Linked DNA regions of Kluyveromyces lactis. The protein of the gene in region 2 binds, or shares a complex with, the protein of the main gene of each other region. Links are inferred from orthologs where the notes say so. Each region holds a gene or a part of one and is shown on either strand. Other genes may lie near its edges.

What was found. The genes of interacting proteins can lie anywhere in the genome.
Region 1: RRP42 (region 2) and RRP46 share a complex: the UniProt entries of both Saccharomyces cerevisiae proteins name them as parts of the RNA exosome complex. The link is inferred for Kluyveromyces lactis from reciprocal best matches to the Saccharomyces cerevisiae genes RRP42 and RRP46.
Region 3: the proteins of RRP42 (region 2) and RRP4 are in contact, whole or in part, in a cryo-EM structure (PDB 5G06), measured with the Saccharomyces cerevisiae proteins. The link is inferred for Kluyveromyces lactis from reciprocal best matches to the Saccharomyces cerevisiae genes RRP42 and RRP4. Residues at the interface, in NP_010172.1 of Saccharomyces cerevisiae: Met1, Ser2, Leu3, Ser4, Val5, Ala6, Glu7, Ser9, Tyr10, Leu11, Asp13, Ser14, Ser17, Pro19, Ile21, Arg22, Pro23, Asp24, Gly25, Arg26, Leu27, His29, Gln30, Phe31, Arg32, Pro33, Ile34, Glu35, Ile36, Phe37; in NP_011936.1 of Saccharomyces cerevisiae: Ser2, Val4, Ile5, Thr6, Ile7, Thr8, Lys9, Arg10, Asn11, Gly12, Ala13, Phe14, Gln15, Asn16, Arg115, Lys164, Glu165, Gly166, Asp167, Leu168, Leu194, Arg195, Asn196, Gly197, Met198, Phe199, Trp232, Asp283, Asn285, Ile289.

Annotation. Positions count from the first base shown.
Region 1 is NC_006040.1:1,265,510-1,268,601, forward strand, and holds RRP46 (exosome non-catalytic core subunit RRP46), read right to left. Parts: upstream 1,921-3,092; coding exon 1,243-1,920; downstream 1-1,242. Other genes in the region: VAS1 (valine--tRNA ligase), read left to right, coding at 1-1,089; thiamine transporter TPC1, read left to right, coding at 2,294-3,092. UniProt on the Saccharomyces cerevisiae protein: Non-catalytic component of the RNA exosome complex which has 3'->5' exoribonuclease activity and participates in a multitude of cellular RNA processing and degradation events.
Region 2 is NC_006041.1:822,437-828,199, forward strand, and holds RRP42 (exosome non-catalytic core subunit RRP42), read right to left. Parts: upstream 2,703-5,763; coding exon 1,908-2,702; downstream 1-1,907. Other genes in the region: TRM3 (tRNA (guanosine(18)-2'-O)-methyltransferase), read left to right, coding at 1-1,852; RRT6 (Rrt6p), read right to left, coding at 3,097-3,870; TMA17 (Tma17p), read right to left, coding at 4,599-5,081. UniProt on the Saccharomyces cerevisiae protein: Non-catalytic component of the RNA exosome complex which has 3'->5' exoribonuclease activity and participates in a multitude of cellular RNA processing and degradation events.
Region 3 is NC_006041.1:1,129,143-1,132,920, forward strand, and holds RRP4 (exosome non-catalytic core subunit RRP4), read right to left. Parts: upstream 2,557-3,778; coding exon 1,243-2,556; downstream 1-1,242. Other genes in the region: OMS1 (putative RNA methyltransferase), read left to right, coding at 1-1,145; TRM5 (tRNA (guanine) methyltransferase), read left to right, coding at 2,585-3,778. UniProt on the Saccharomyces cerevisiae protein: Non-catalytic component of the RNA exosome complex which has 3'->5' exoribonuclease activity and participates in a multitude of cellular RNA processing and degradation events.

The DNA of each region.
Region 1 (3,092 bases), on a different chromosome or scaffold from region 2:
GCAAAGAATGGTCAAAAGGAATCTTACCCACACGGTATCCCAGAATGTGGTACTGATGCTTTGAGATTTGCTCTTTGTGCATACACCACTGGTGGTCGTGACATTAACTTGGATATTCTCCGTGTTGAAGGTTACAGAAAGTTCTGTAACAAGATCTACCAAGCTACCAAGTTTGCTTTGTTGAGATTGGGAGATGACTATAAACCACCAGCTTCTGAAGCTCTTTCTGGCAATGAATCCTTAGTTGAAAAATGGATCTTGCACGAATTGACTGAAACTGCCAAGAATGTCAACGAAGCATTTGAAAAGCGTGACTTCTTGAACTCCACCTCAGCCATCTATGAATTCTGGTATTTGGTCTGTGATGTTTACATTGAGAACTCCAAGTACTTGATTCAAGAAGGTACAGAAGTTCAACAAAAGTCTGCTAAGGATACCTTATATATCTTGATCGACAATGCATTGAAAATGATCCATCCATTCATGCCTTTCATCTCTGAAGAAATGTGGCAACATCTACCAAGATACGCCAGCGAAACTTCTCCAACTATCGTTAAGAGCTCATACCCAACTTTCAAGGAAGAATTCCACAATCCAAGCGCTGCTAAGGAATACGAGCTAATCTTAAACGTCACAAAGGATGCTCGTTCCTTGTTGGCACAATATAACATCTTGAAAAACGGTAAGGTGTTTGTTGAATCTGCTAATGAATCATACTACTCCACTGTCCAATCTCAAAAAGATTCTATCGTCTCTTTGATTAAGGCAATCGATGAAGTTTCCGTTGTGAAATCTGCTGCTGATATCCCACAAGGTTGTGTGCTACAATCTGTCAACCCAGAAGTTAACGTGCATGTGCTTGTGAAGGGTCACGTCGATATCGATGCAGAAATCTCCAAGGTCCAAAAGAAGCTAGACAAGACTTTGAAGTCTAAATCTGCCATTGATAAGATTGTCAACAGCAGCGATTATGAACAAAAGGCCAATGACCAAGTGAAGCAATTCAACAAAGAAAGATCAGAGCACGCTGCCGCTGAAATCGAAACCTTGGAAGCTACCATCGCTAACTTGGAAGCATTGAAGTTGTAGAATTGTTTTGTTATTTGTCCAATAGATTAGATTACTCTCTCTGCCGCTGCTAATGCGAATTATATAAATGCAAATATATATAAATTGTATATAAAGATGATAACGTTAATTATAAAGTTAATTTATAAAGAACCATGGGTGCAGGTATACCCACTACTGTCTCCAGACGAAATCTTTGGCGACTTTATCCTTGATCACTGATCTCAACTCTGTGTATAACCGTATACACTCTTTCTCACCTGTTTCTAACACTTTAAACAACTGTGACTCGTCAAAGCTGCCTAAACTATCAAGAAGAAGCAGGTTCCTGACATCTATATCCCCGTTCTCATTCGTGCCCAGCTCTAGACAGTATACGTGGACCGATTCACATTTAGCTAGCTGCGATTCTGTTGGGTTCACCACCAGCTGCTTCCCTTCAGTGGTAATACCAATACAAGTACCAGAACACATACTGAGTAACGGTACACCAGCATCCACCAATGCGAGCACCGCTGCGTTAACACATACACTGACTTCTTTCACAGTATAATCCCTGCTTTCTCCCGCTTCTAATACTTGGAGACATATCTGCACAAATTGACGTGGATGCAAGTATCTCGCAAGCACTGGGGTCAACACAGAACGGATCTGATCTTCCATTAACTTTTCCCTCGTACTCTGTACGCCTTCAGCAGGCTTCACGATGATCTCTAATGCAAGTTGTGTGGGCAACTCTTGCCTAGACTTAGGTTCCATGGGTCCCGAAACAGAACAGATAACTTTAGTTCCGCTGTTTGAAACAACAGAAGAGCCATCAACATGGCCCAAAACATGCGTCGTAGTCTCCATCTTGGCTAGAAAATTACTATAGGTACAATATAACAATCAATACGCAGTCGGTATAGACGGTAATGAGCCACTACAGTCCCTCTTTCCCCATCTTTTGAATGTTATGTCAGGATGAGATGAGATGAGCTTCAAATTCAGAAATTTTTCACTTTTAGGATACGCAATGAATAGATATGAAACTAAGAGGTTGGAGATGCAATGCAATTGATGTGCCAGAGACCCTTTTAGCAGGGCATGTATGTGGTAATTTATAAATAAGGAGATTGTGTGTAGGTCTGGCTTCATTTAAGTTCTGAGAAGGGAGCGAGAGACCAGCATTCAGTGAATCTTCAATCCATCAAGAGAGAGGGATTTATTTAATGACGAAGAGAGAATGAACACTGGCATAAGGAAAGACCATCTCAGGAAAGGTGAAACGGTATCATGGTACAATTCAGTGATTGCTGGTTCTGTTTCTGGGGTATTTGCTAGGATGGCAACTGCACCAATGGATACTGTAAAAATACGATATCAGTTACAACCGGTACAAGAGGACAAATATAAGGGAATTGCATCTACTGTGAGAACTATAATGAAAGAAGAAGGACTTCGAGCGTTATGGAAAGGAAACATCCCGGCGACGGCGATGTACGTTGTTTACGGTGCAGTACAATTCGGATCTTACTCGTGGTTCAACAACGTTTGGTCTGCGAAGTTCCCTCGGTTTTCACAGCAGGGACAAACGCTAACGGTCGGAGCGTTGGCAGGAATGACTAGTTCAGTGGTATCTTACCCGCTAGATTTGCTTCGGACAAGACTTATAGCAAACAGAACGAGCCATCGGACCAGTGTCGCAGAGGAGTGCCGACAAATGTGGCTCAATGAAGGTGTACGAGGTTTTTTCACTGGAATATCCACTGCGATGACAACGGTTACTTTATCCACGGCTATCATGTTTCTCACATATGAGACCGTGAATATAGTCTGTGAAAACCACGAGAAAGAATTCTGGTCGCGACCTGTAAGTGCTAGTTCAGGGATCATCGCAGGGTTTGTATCCAAGACGATGGTGTTCCCCATTGACACTTTACGTCGCAGAATGCAAGTGATGAACTCTAAGAGAACAGTTCATTTCACCAAATTCCCTGCTGTTTACCACGAGTACAGGTATAAATCATCCACTGCAATTATTT
Region 2 (5,763 bases):
TAGTGCAATGGGTTTACAGTGCAGAATATGGGATTCTTTAATAGAAGAGAGGTTGGTACTCAATCAACAACCATTGCATTTGGCTCTCATAAGAGGCATCTTCCATTATACGACATTCTTATCTGCCCTCAATGATCAGGCTATTTTCAAGATCATGCTTCATTACGCAACTGCCATTTTAGATCAATCTTTTTCGAGGAGAACATTGAAACCAGTTCTCAGCCAGCAAATCTTAGGGTTTATGGAAGTGTATGGAAGTTCACTACCAAACCAGCAATATTCGGACTTTGCTAGGTTGCTATCTGATGTTTTCACTCATGAAAGTATGAATCTCAACATCTACAATTTAAAACCTGCAATTGCCAAGCTATTTGATTCCAAGCTTGGTTTATATATTGACGGAGGATTATACAAGTTTGTTTATGGTGCAACAGAAGTGGTTACGAAATCACGCATAATTAAAGCTCTTTTATATTCAAGCAAGGAGTTTAGACGTCAATTTTTGCAGGTGATGCTCCAAGAAGACCCTAACATGTTAAAAGCGAAGAAAAAAACTGATGGACCAGAAGAAATTCAACGATTACAAAAATGGCAACTGTGCCTTCTATCGATCAAATCAGTCGATAAAGATGTTCTAACAGGTTTGTGTTCTGATTATATCATTCCTTCTCTTGTGGAAGAATCGTCTCCGTTAGTAAGAGTTTATTCAGAATGGTTCATTGCATATGACCTATGGGTTACAGCGACAGATAATCATAAAAATCCAAATGAGGACTTTCTGTTCAAACTTTTAGAAGACACCTCTCGTCCTGTTTTACAAGCAAGTGTTGAACGTTTGTTATTCTTATCTTTGAAGGCAGCGAAGGAGACAGGTCATTTTTTCAGGCCAATGGAAAGATTTGTCGCACAACTGATAACTAATTGCTCCTCAAACAAACCATTAATTAGACATTTCTCTAATTCCCTCATTCTTTTGTTTTGGCCAACCTTTGAAGATGACATCAAAGATAATATTTTGCGATCCATTATTTCTAAGCTATACAGCGATGCTAAGAAGATCCAAGTACAAGGTCAATTCAGAGCCGGTGACGCAAACACTTGGAGCATCAATAACGACCTTAAGTTAACAAGTATATTTGGCGGCGTATTATTGAAAATTATGGATCATAAAGTTCCATATATAAATAGTAAGATATTCAAAGCCATTAACATCGATGACGGTGAATTTGAAATAGGATCGGAAGAGAGTGAACTATGGTTGACCAAAAGAAGTAGTAATCTAGTAAATTCAACTGAGTTAGCAAAAAACTCGCCCCTACAAACGAAGAGTGGTGCTTGGGAAGCTGTCTTGGATTTCGATAATCAAAAATCCATTGAGTCTGTTGCACGATCTGAATTAATTGTCGTAGCTTCATTAGTGGATAAAGCACCCAATCTCGGAGGTATTTGTAGACTCTGTGACGTGTTGGGTGTCGGTACTATGACAATTCATGATATTAGAGTCAAACAGCATCCTCAATTCAAAAATGTTGCGGTTACAGCGGACCGCTGGATGCCTATTGAAGAAGTTCCTGTCGATGGTATAATATCTTACATGAATGCAAAGAAGTTGGAAGGATATACGTTAATTGGATTGGAGCAGACTGATTCTTCCATTCAACTGAATTCTGAATTTAAATTTCCATCAAAATCTGTCATTTTACTAGGAACAGAAGCTCATGGTATTCCAGGGCATTTGTTAAAGGAGTTGGATTTATGCTTAGAAATCAAACAATCTGGGGTAATAAGATCCATGAATATCCAAACTGCAACAGCTGTTATCGTTCATTCGTACTCGATCCAGCATTTATAGATATGCATTTATAATAAACACCCTGAAAAGTACCTATTTACTATTTAAATGTTCCTTAATCTGAAGCATCCAAAGCTTTTTCAATATGTGGTGCGTATTGACGAATTAACTTGAACGCTTGTTCTAAATGATGCTGACTGAACCCTTTGATATTATCGTTATTCAAGCCAACAGATCTTATCGGAGAAGTAACCTTATCTTTGTACCACGTAATTAGAAGGCCATTGTTCGATACTATGCTCTCTTCAAAAGTTGGATCCACAAAAACACCGTCTCCTACAATTGCGAACGTAAACAATAAAGGAGCATCTGCCTCTAGCTTAACCATATCGTAATCATGGAATGTGGGTAGCTCCTCCACTTCTAAGTCATCGTCGTTCGATATTAGTTTCGGTAGCCATGTGTTTTTCAAAGCGCTGAAAATGGCGAAAGATATCATTGAGATCGGGTATGATTTGGAGGCAAGCACCAAAACGTCAATGTAAAGTTTGAAACTGTACCTTTTCGTGAGCATTAGCTTTTTCTGATCAATAGTTTGTTTGAGCAATTTGGATAATAGTGAAGACATGCTGGTAACCAATGGAGAGTCATCTCTGTGGCCTTGGATGTCGACATCAGCAACAAGCAATTCTTGTTCTACCGTATGGTCCACGACTTTAGTTTTTACACTCACTATACACTCGCTTCCTCCGCTTAATATCACACGGCTGGATCCATTAGAATTGGGAAGGAAATCAGTAGATACTTCCAATGGTCTAAATTGATGTGGACCTCTTCCATCCGGTCTTAATGGGGGATCTAATGTTAGAGAATCGTATAGGAACGATTTTTCAGTTAACGAAAGTCCCATTATCTTCTTATATTATTTGATTTTTTTTTTAACGAGATGGGTCTGCTTCGTGAGAAGATAACTCGCTTTAAACTCAGATGTTTCTATTGCTGTTGATAGAAGGGAAATAAGCCTTTTCTCATCATCTCATTGCATCTCATCTCAAGCTCATATAAGTCAATACTGAAATTAGTTCAGATTTTTCATTTCTTCTTTTCGCTAATGCACATTAATATTCGGTGTTACCCGGATATAATTGGCCATTAGTGAGATGTTCTGTCAGGTGTCAGTCACGGTTCGAAGTACTAACATACGATGAATGCTGACTGACTGATATTGAAGTTGTACTGATACAGGGTGCTGATGTTTAATATATATACAAATACATCAACTGTTTTATGGACATAATTATTCCTTATCTTTTGATTTTATTTTTGTTCTTGGTCGGTTGCCCTTTGCTAACGATTCTATACAGTAAGATTGGAAATACCAGCAAATGACATACTCCAATGATGCAGAATAATATTGTGACTTTTGCCAGTAGATAAGAGAACGTTGATTCGTTGAGATTTCTATGATCGACATCTAAAGCATGCAATTCCTGGCCAGAATCCGCACTGACCAACGAAAACAGGTCATCTCTACCCTGGGATAACAAATTGAGATCATCATCAGTAATCAAATCCCACTTCTGTTTCTGAATCAGATCATTAGACGTGATGCTAATTGCTACTTGCTTCACACTATCTATGGCATTCCATGAGGAGTCTAATGAAAAGTTGATAAGGCATATTTGGAAATTCTGATGTTCGTATACGCTCACGTAAAGCACAGTTTCCCCATTCTCTAAACCATGTCTTGACTGTACCAAATTTTGGTCTTCGTCATAAATATCCATGTTGACAACCTGTTTTCCCTTTGAACTCGTAGTTGGACCAAACCTATCCACATTAACTTTCCATTTAGTAAATTCTTCAATTTCAATGAGGAATTGTAAATCCTTGGCCTTAATATTCGTATTCATTTCGAAACAAGTTTGATAACTAGACGCGTCACTCGAGCCGTCAACTTCCCATTTTTTATATGGCCACAAATCGAATTCTAATCGATTTGGGTTTATCGGCAGTTTAAGGGTCTCCGAGACAACTGAACATATCAGTAAAAGGACATATATCAACGATATCACCATTTAAACAAAAAGAACAAAAAAATTACTAGCTGGAACGAAATGAACTGGGTATAATAACAAACGAAAAGACCACAATCTAATTACTGAAGCGAAAGCTGTGGATTAGACCCAAAAAAAAAATTTTGTCTGGCCGAATAAGAACACAAAAAGATATTGACAACACGTATGAAGCACTGAGAAACAACCTTAAAGGGAAAAAAAGAATTGTTTCGATTTGAATTGAACCTGATGCTTTATAGATGGAGACCAATCATTAACCCAGGCAGTTCCCACTTTTCCAACCGAATAATTGCTGTCAAAACGACTCTCTGTATGTTTTTCTCCAAAAGTGTTCTTAACATTTTCATGCCATGGCACAGTATATATGTCGATCATATCAAAATGAAATGAAATGTTAACGTGAACCTGATAGACTTTTTTCGCATCGACGTTTACAGATGGAAGAAAATGAATGCCACAGAGAACGGCCCAGCCTGCTGGAAACAGAAAAAGCTAAATGTTAAGAATGGTCTGTAGCAGATTCATTCCAGGGTTTTTCCCAGCAGATTACCAGCCCGAAACTAAGAGAAAGAAACCAGAACGGGTGCGTTTATTCATCTCTGAAAGTATACAGTTTTCCGAGGTCATACCAGCCCACACTTTTAAACATGCATTTTTGCTTTCATTCATTTTTTTTTTACTATACTTCAATATATGAGTACATTATATATATTTTGTTTGGAATGGGTTCATAAGTTAATGCTATTGGAACCAGTGGCATCAGCAGTATTATCTGAATCCACGCCAACGGTTCTCCGGCCTTGAGATTGCAAAGATCTTTTTAATTTTGTGGACGCCGATTGGATGTCACCGGAAGATACAGTGCTAGCCCTGTGCTGTTCTTCTAGGTCCAAAGCTTGTAGCCTTTCGTTATAATTATCCAATACTTTTCCATTTTCCGCTAATGAGTCTTGGAATACTTGCAAATCCTTCTCATCAATATCATCATCGGAAAAATTCCCTTCCGCGTCCAATTCTTGTCTGTTCAATACCTCTTCACCCTTAAGCTTGGCAACGTACGCTTCTAACCTTCTGTTAGATCTTTGTAAATGCTTCACTGCATTATTGATCTCTTTTCTGATCTCTTGTAATTCATGCTCAGACGATTCTCTAATAGCAATCACGAACTCTTGAATCTGAATTGGTCTACGAATACCAGAAGAATGTGCCATATTTCTATGTTAAGTCTATCCTTAGCTATGTATGTTTTTTCACTTTTTAGTCTTGTTTCGGTTGGAAAGTACGAGATGAATTAAGATCGGTATCCTTAACTATATATTCAAGCTAGCCTTTTATAACAATAATTTAAGCCAGAGTTTATTCTCTTACTATTTATACCCAACGGTAAGATATCACGCCCCACATATGACACCCACCCCTCCGAGGCACCATCATTGCAAATCAGAGTGTATGATGCGCACGTTACTATGCTGACTTTTTCCAGCTCCAAAGCAACACTACTTGTTAAAAATCACATCAGCTTTTCTGCTTTCCTTTCTCCTGGGCTGGATTTCCCCGCCTAAGTCCTTCTCTGGGAACTGAACTTTGTCCCTTTCAGCAAAGAGTTGAGAAACTCACGAGGAACACAAAAACAACGAGAATTAGGGGCCGCTTATGTAATTCTTTTCATCCCATAAAACAGAAAAATTGTGCTGTTTTGGCTTCCACCCATACACTACGCACAATCAGGGGTTGGTGCAATTTCGGATATATTACCCGGGCATGGTGAATTTCATCATAGGCGTTACAGAGTGAAGATGTGATTCAGATTCTATATGAGAGAGAGTTCATTGCGATGCTAGAGAAGAGATGGACAAAAGACAAATGGTGATGTGTAATAGTAACTACGGATTG
Region 3 (3,778 bases), about 310 kb from region 2:
CTGACAACTGGATTATTAGGTACGGGGCCATTGCAAGGTCCGAGAAGTTTTCGAAAGCTTTAACGAAATACATTCTTGCCGCATATGTGGTGTTCATTCTATATGGGTTAAACTATACCAAGAAGCTTTATAAGAAGGACAAGGAGTTAGAAGATATTAGTGCAAAGATTGATATGGGAGTAGCAAATGAATATGAGTTGTTGCGCTATAAGGAACTAAAAAATACGTTAAGAACAAGAGATGTGGAGAAATTGAAACAATACCAAAAGATTATAGAGAAAGATGGGACTGAGAATTTGGATAAGATTACCTTGGAAAACAACGATCAAAACAAGATTAACGAGAAAATTCTACCTGCTAGGGATACCACTGATTTCTATGAAATGAAGGCAGAAGAGTACGATGAGGGTGTGAGTTTTGAAGAAATGATGATCAGAATGGGTAAAAGACGTAAGTGGCTCATGAAACATTGTAAAGGAGATGTTCTCGAAGTCGCTTGTGGTACTGGTAGGAATATCAAATATTTAGACCCAACGAAGATCAACTCAATCACATTCTTGGATGCATCGGAAAAGATGATGGAAATCACAAATAAAAAATTCAGAGAAGCACTACCCAATTTCAAGAAATGTGCATTTGTTGTAGGGAAAGCGGAAGATTTGATCGACTTGAACTCGAAGGAGACACCTGTTAAGTATGATACTATTGTTGAAGCGTTTGGTCTTTGTTCACATCACGATCCTGTAAAATCTTTGAAGAATTTTGCTGAATTGTTGAAACCTGGCGGTAGAATCATTCTCTTGGAACACGGAAGAGGTTCATACGATACAATCAACAAAATTCTTGACGATAGAGCTGAGAAACGTTTAAAGACATGGGGTTGTAGATGGAACTTGGATATCGGAGAAATCCTTGACGATTCTGGATTGGATGTCGTCGAAGAAAGAAGAACACATTTCGGTACGACATGGTGTATTGTTGCCAAGCGTAAAGGTGACGGTAAGAAGAAAGAAGAAATTGGCTTCTTTGAAAAGTATCTTGGTGCTAGTGTTAAGAGCAGAATTGAATCTTTCACAAACGATGGAAAGAAGCAAGACTCGCTACAAGCTACCCATAATAAACCAACATCTGAGACATCCAAATGATGGTACTCTTATCGAAAAGATTTTATTATTTGTAAATATTATGCACTTTATTTATAAAATACTACTTCATGTAAATATTAATATTACCGATTACAACCTATGCTGCTCCCCTCATCTTCTCTGAGTTGATGACGTCTTGACCTAAGGACTCCATCGTCTCCGATTCAATTAACTGTCCCAAGTTACCATAAGCCATTGAAGCCTCATATGCGGATATTATTCTTGGCTCAGTGATACCGAGTTCGCAATGTGCTAACGCCTTAATTACGTTTGCATATCTTGTGATTGTTTGCCTAACGCTTACAGTAACAGTATCATTTTTATCCGAATATATTTCCCAAGAACTCTCTTCTTCCAATCTTGTAATGGAAACCGACATTGCATTGTTGGATCCTGGTAAATGGTCAGATTGTCCTGAACCTGTAGTAGTGGTCTTACCGGAAAGATCCATCTTGGAGGATTTCCTTATCCATACGAACCCATTTACACCCAAGATAATGGTGACATTCCCTGGAAGATTATGTGTATGATTTTTAGATCTCACTATTAGGGAACTTGGGACTTGAACAAACGTACCATTCCTTAGTTTCCCATATTTCAACGATCTGGTATGTAATGAAGCTGAACCGTCTTGGAACAACGATTGGACTTCAGCGTTTAGTAGATCACCTTCTTTCAAGAAGTTTCTCATTTGCAACTCATCTGTCTCTGACTTACGTCTCAATACACCACCTGGTAAATTAACAGAACCCAACATCAAAACCGCATACTGTTTGGCTCCAATATCCACTTTCCACCTTCTATTACCAACATCAGTGATTCTACCCACGATGTGGTCACCTGTTTCGGGAATATAACGAGATTTTAATGGTAAAACGGATAGCAATCTATTCACTCTCGATACTGTGCCAACCACAGAACTGTATGTCTTGTTTTCCAAGAAATAAGTACCATGACCCTTCATCCATATAGGATCATCGGTTATTAATTCACCAGGTGTGACAATAGACCCATCCTGATGGTCTATTCCACCATTGGAATCGTGAGCACCGCTCATCTCAATGTCATGTTCTTGCTCTGAACCTGAGCTGGAATCTGATTCATATTCATCCTGTTCTAAACGGCCATTAGACCAAAATTCGTTCCTATTGATAACACTAATAACATCACTCATTGTTCCAAGTAATGATATAACGATGTCAGGGACTGCAGAAGGCGTTCGATGTGCTGACTTCCTCGCTGTACCTTTGTTACTTTTGGTGTTAGTTAACTGAAAATTTTCCAAATTAAATAAGAGAGCGATGAGATGAGATGAGATGAGCGTTGTAAAAGATGTAAAAATGTTGCAGCAAAGATCGACCGTCAGGCAGCGTTTTATTTGGTGAAGTGATAGCACACTATTTTGCTCCATTTTTCAAGGATAGAGGAGGACTAGTTTTATGAGGTTTGGCCTAGTGCTTCGAAGAACAATGAGTAGAGCTATTGAAACTACGTTCAAATATGAACCACCAGTGCATCGTGGCATGAAACAATTAGATAAATCATTATTCGTAAAGAAGCTTCCTGTTGTTGTATTGCTATTGAAGAATCCAAAGAATATTTCTGTCTTCACCAAGAAGTTCAAGGACGATATATTAAGGACACCAAGAATTCCATTCGTTATAAGACTTGGCGAAACACCAAAAGAAGATACTGATAAGAACGATGTCGAGCCAGTACAGAAGAAAAGCAAATCCCTGGCCAATGACAACCATATAACCAAAGGTATCATACTAAAAGACAGTATACAAGATGTTTCGCAGGCGAGAGGGAAGTTGACCTCCAATGCACTAGAATTTCTTGATGAGCAAGAGTATGAGTTGAGAAACCATGAGTATGTGCTAGATTATGACTTCTGGAAAGTGGAAGAGATTCTAAATGCAATTTTACCAGAGGAGTACCTTGCTGAGATTCCTACTGGGTTCACTATTGTGGGACACGTAGCTCATTTGAATTTAAGGAAAGAGTTCAAACCGTTTGGTGAAATAATTGGACAAGTCATCTTGGACAAGAATTCGACGATCAAGACCGTGGTCGATAAAGTGGATTCCATTGCTACCAAATTCAGAACTTTCGAAATGAACGTCCTAGCGGGTGAACCGAACCTGCTAGTGACTCAAAGGGAATCTGATTGTTCATTCACTTTCGATTTCAGTAAAGTGTACTGGAACTCAAGACTACATACAGAACATGCAAGGTTAGTGAGTCTATTCAAACCGGGCCAAATAGTTGGTGATGTGTTTGCTGGGGTGGGGCCATTCTCAGTTCCAGCAGGAAAGAAGAAGGTCATCGTTCTAAGTAACGATTTGAACCCAGAATCTTACAAGTACATGCAGCAAAATATCATCGACAATAAGGTGGGTAACTTCGTTGAACCATTGAACCTCGATGGCCGCGAATTCATCAGAGATAGTCCCAAGCTACTACAACAATTCATCGAAAGGGTACAGGGAGTCATCACGGTGCCAGGAGGTAAGAAGTACAAGGATAAAGTCACGGGAGAAACTAAACGTACTCCTGAAACCAAGATCCCAATCAAAAACCAGTTCTTCGATCACTACGTGATGAACTTACCTGACAGTGCTCTTCAATTC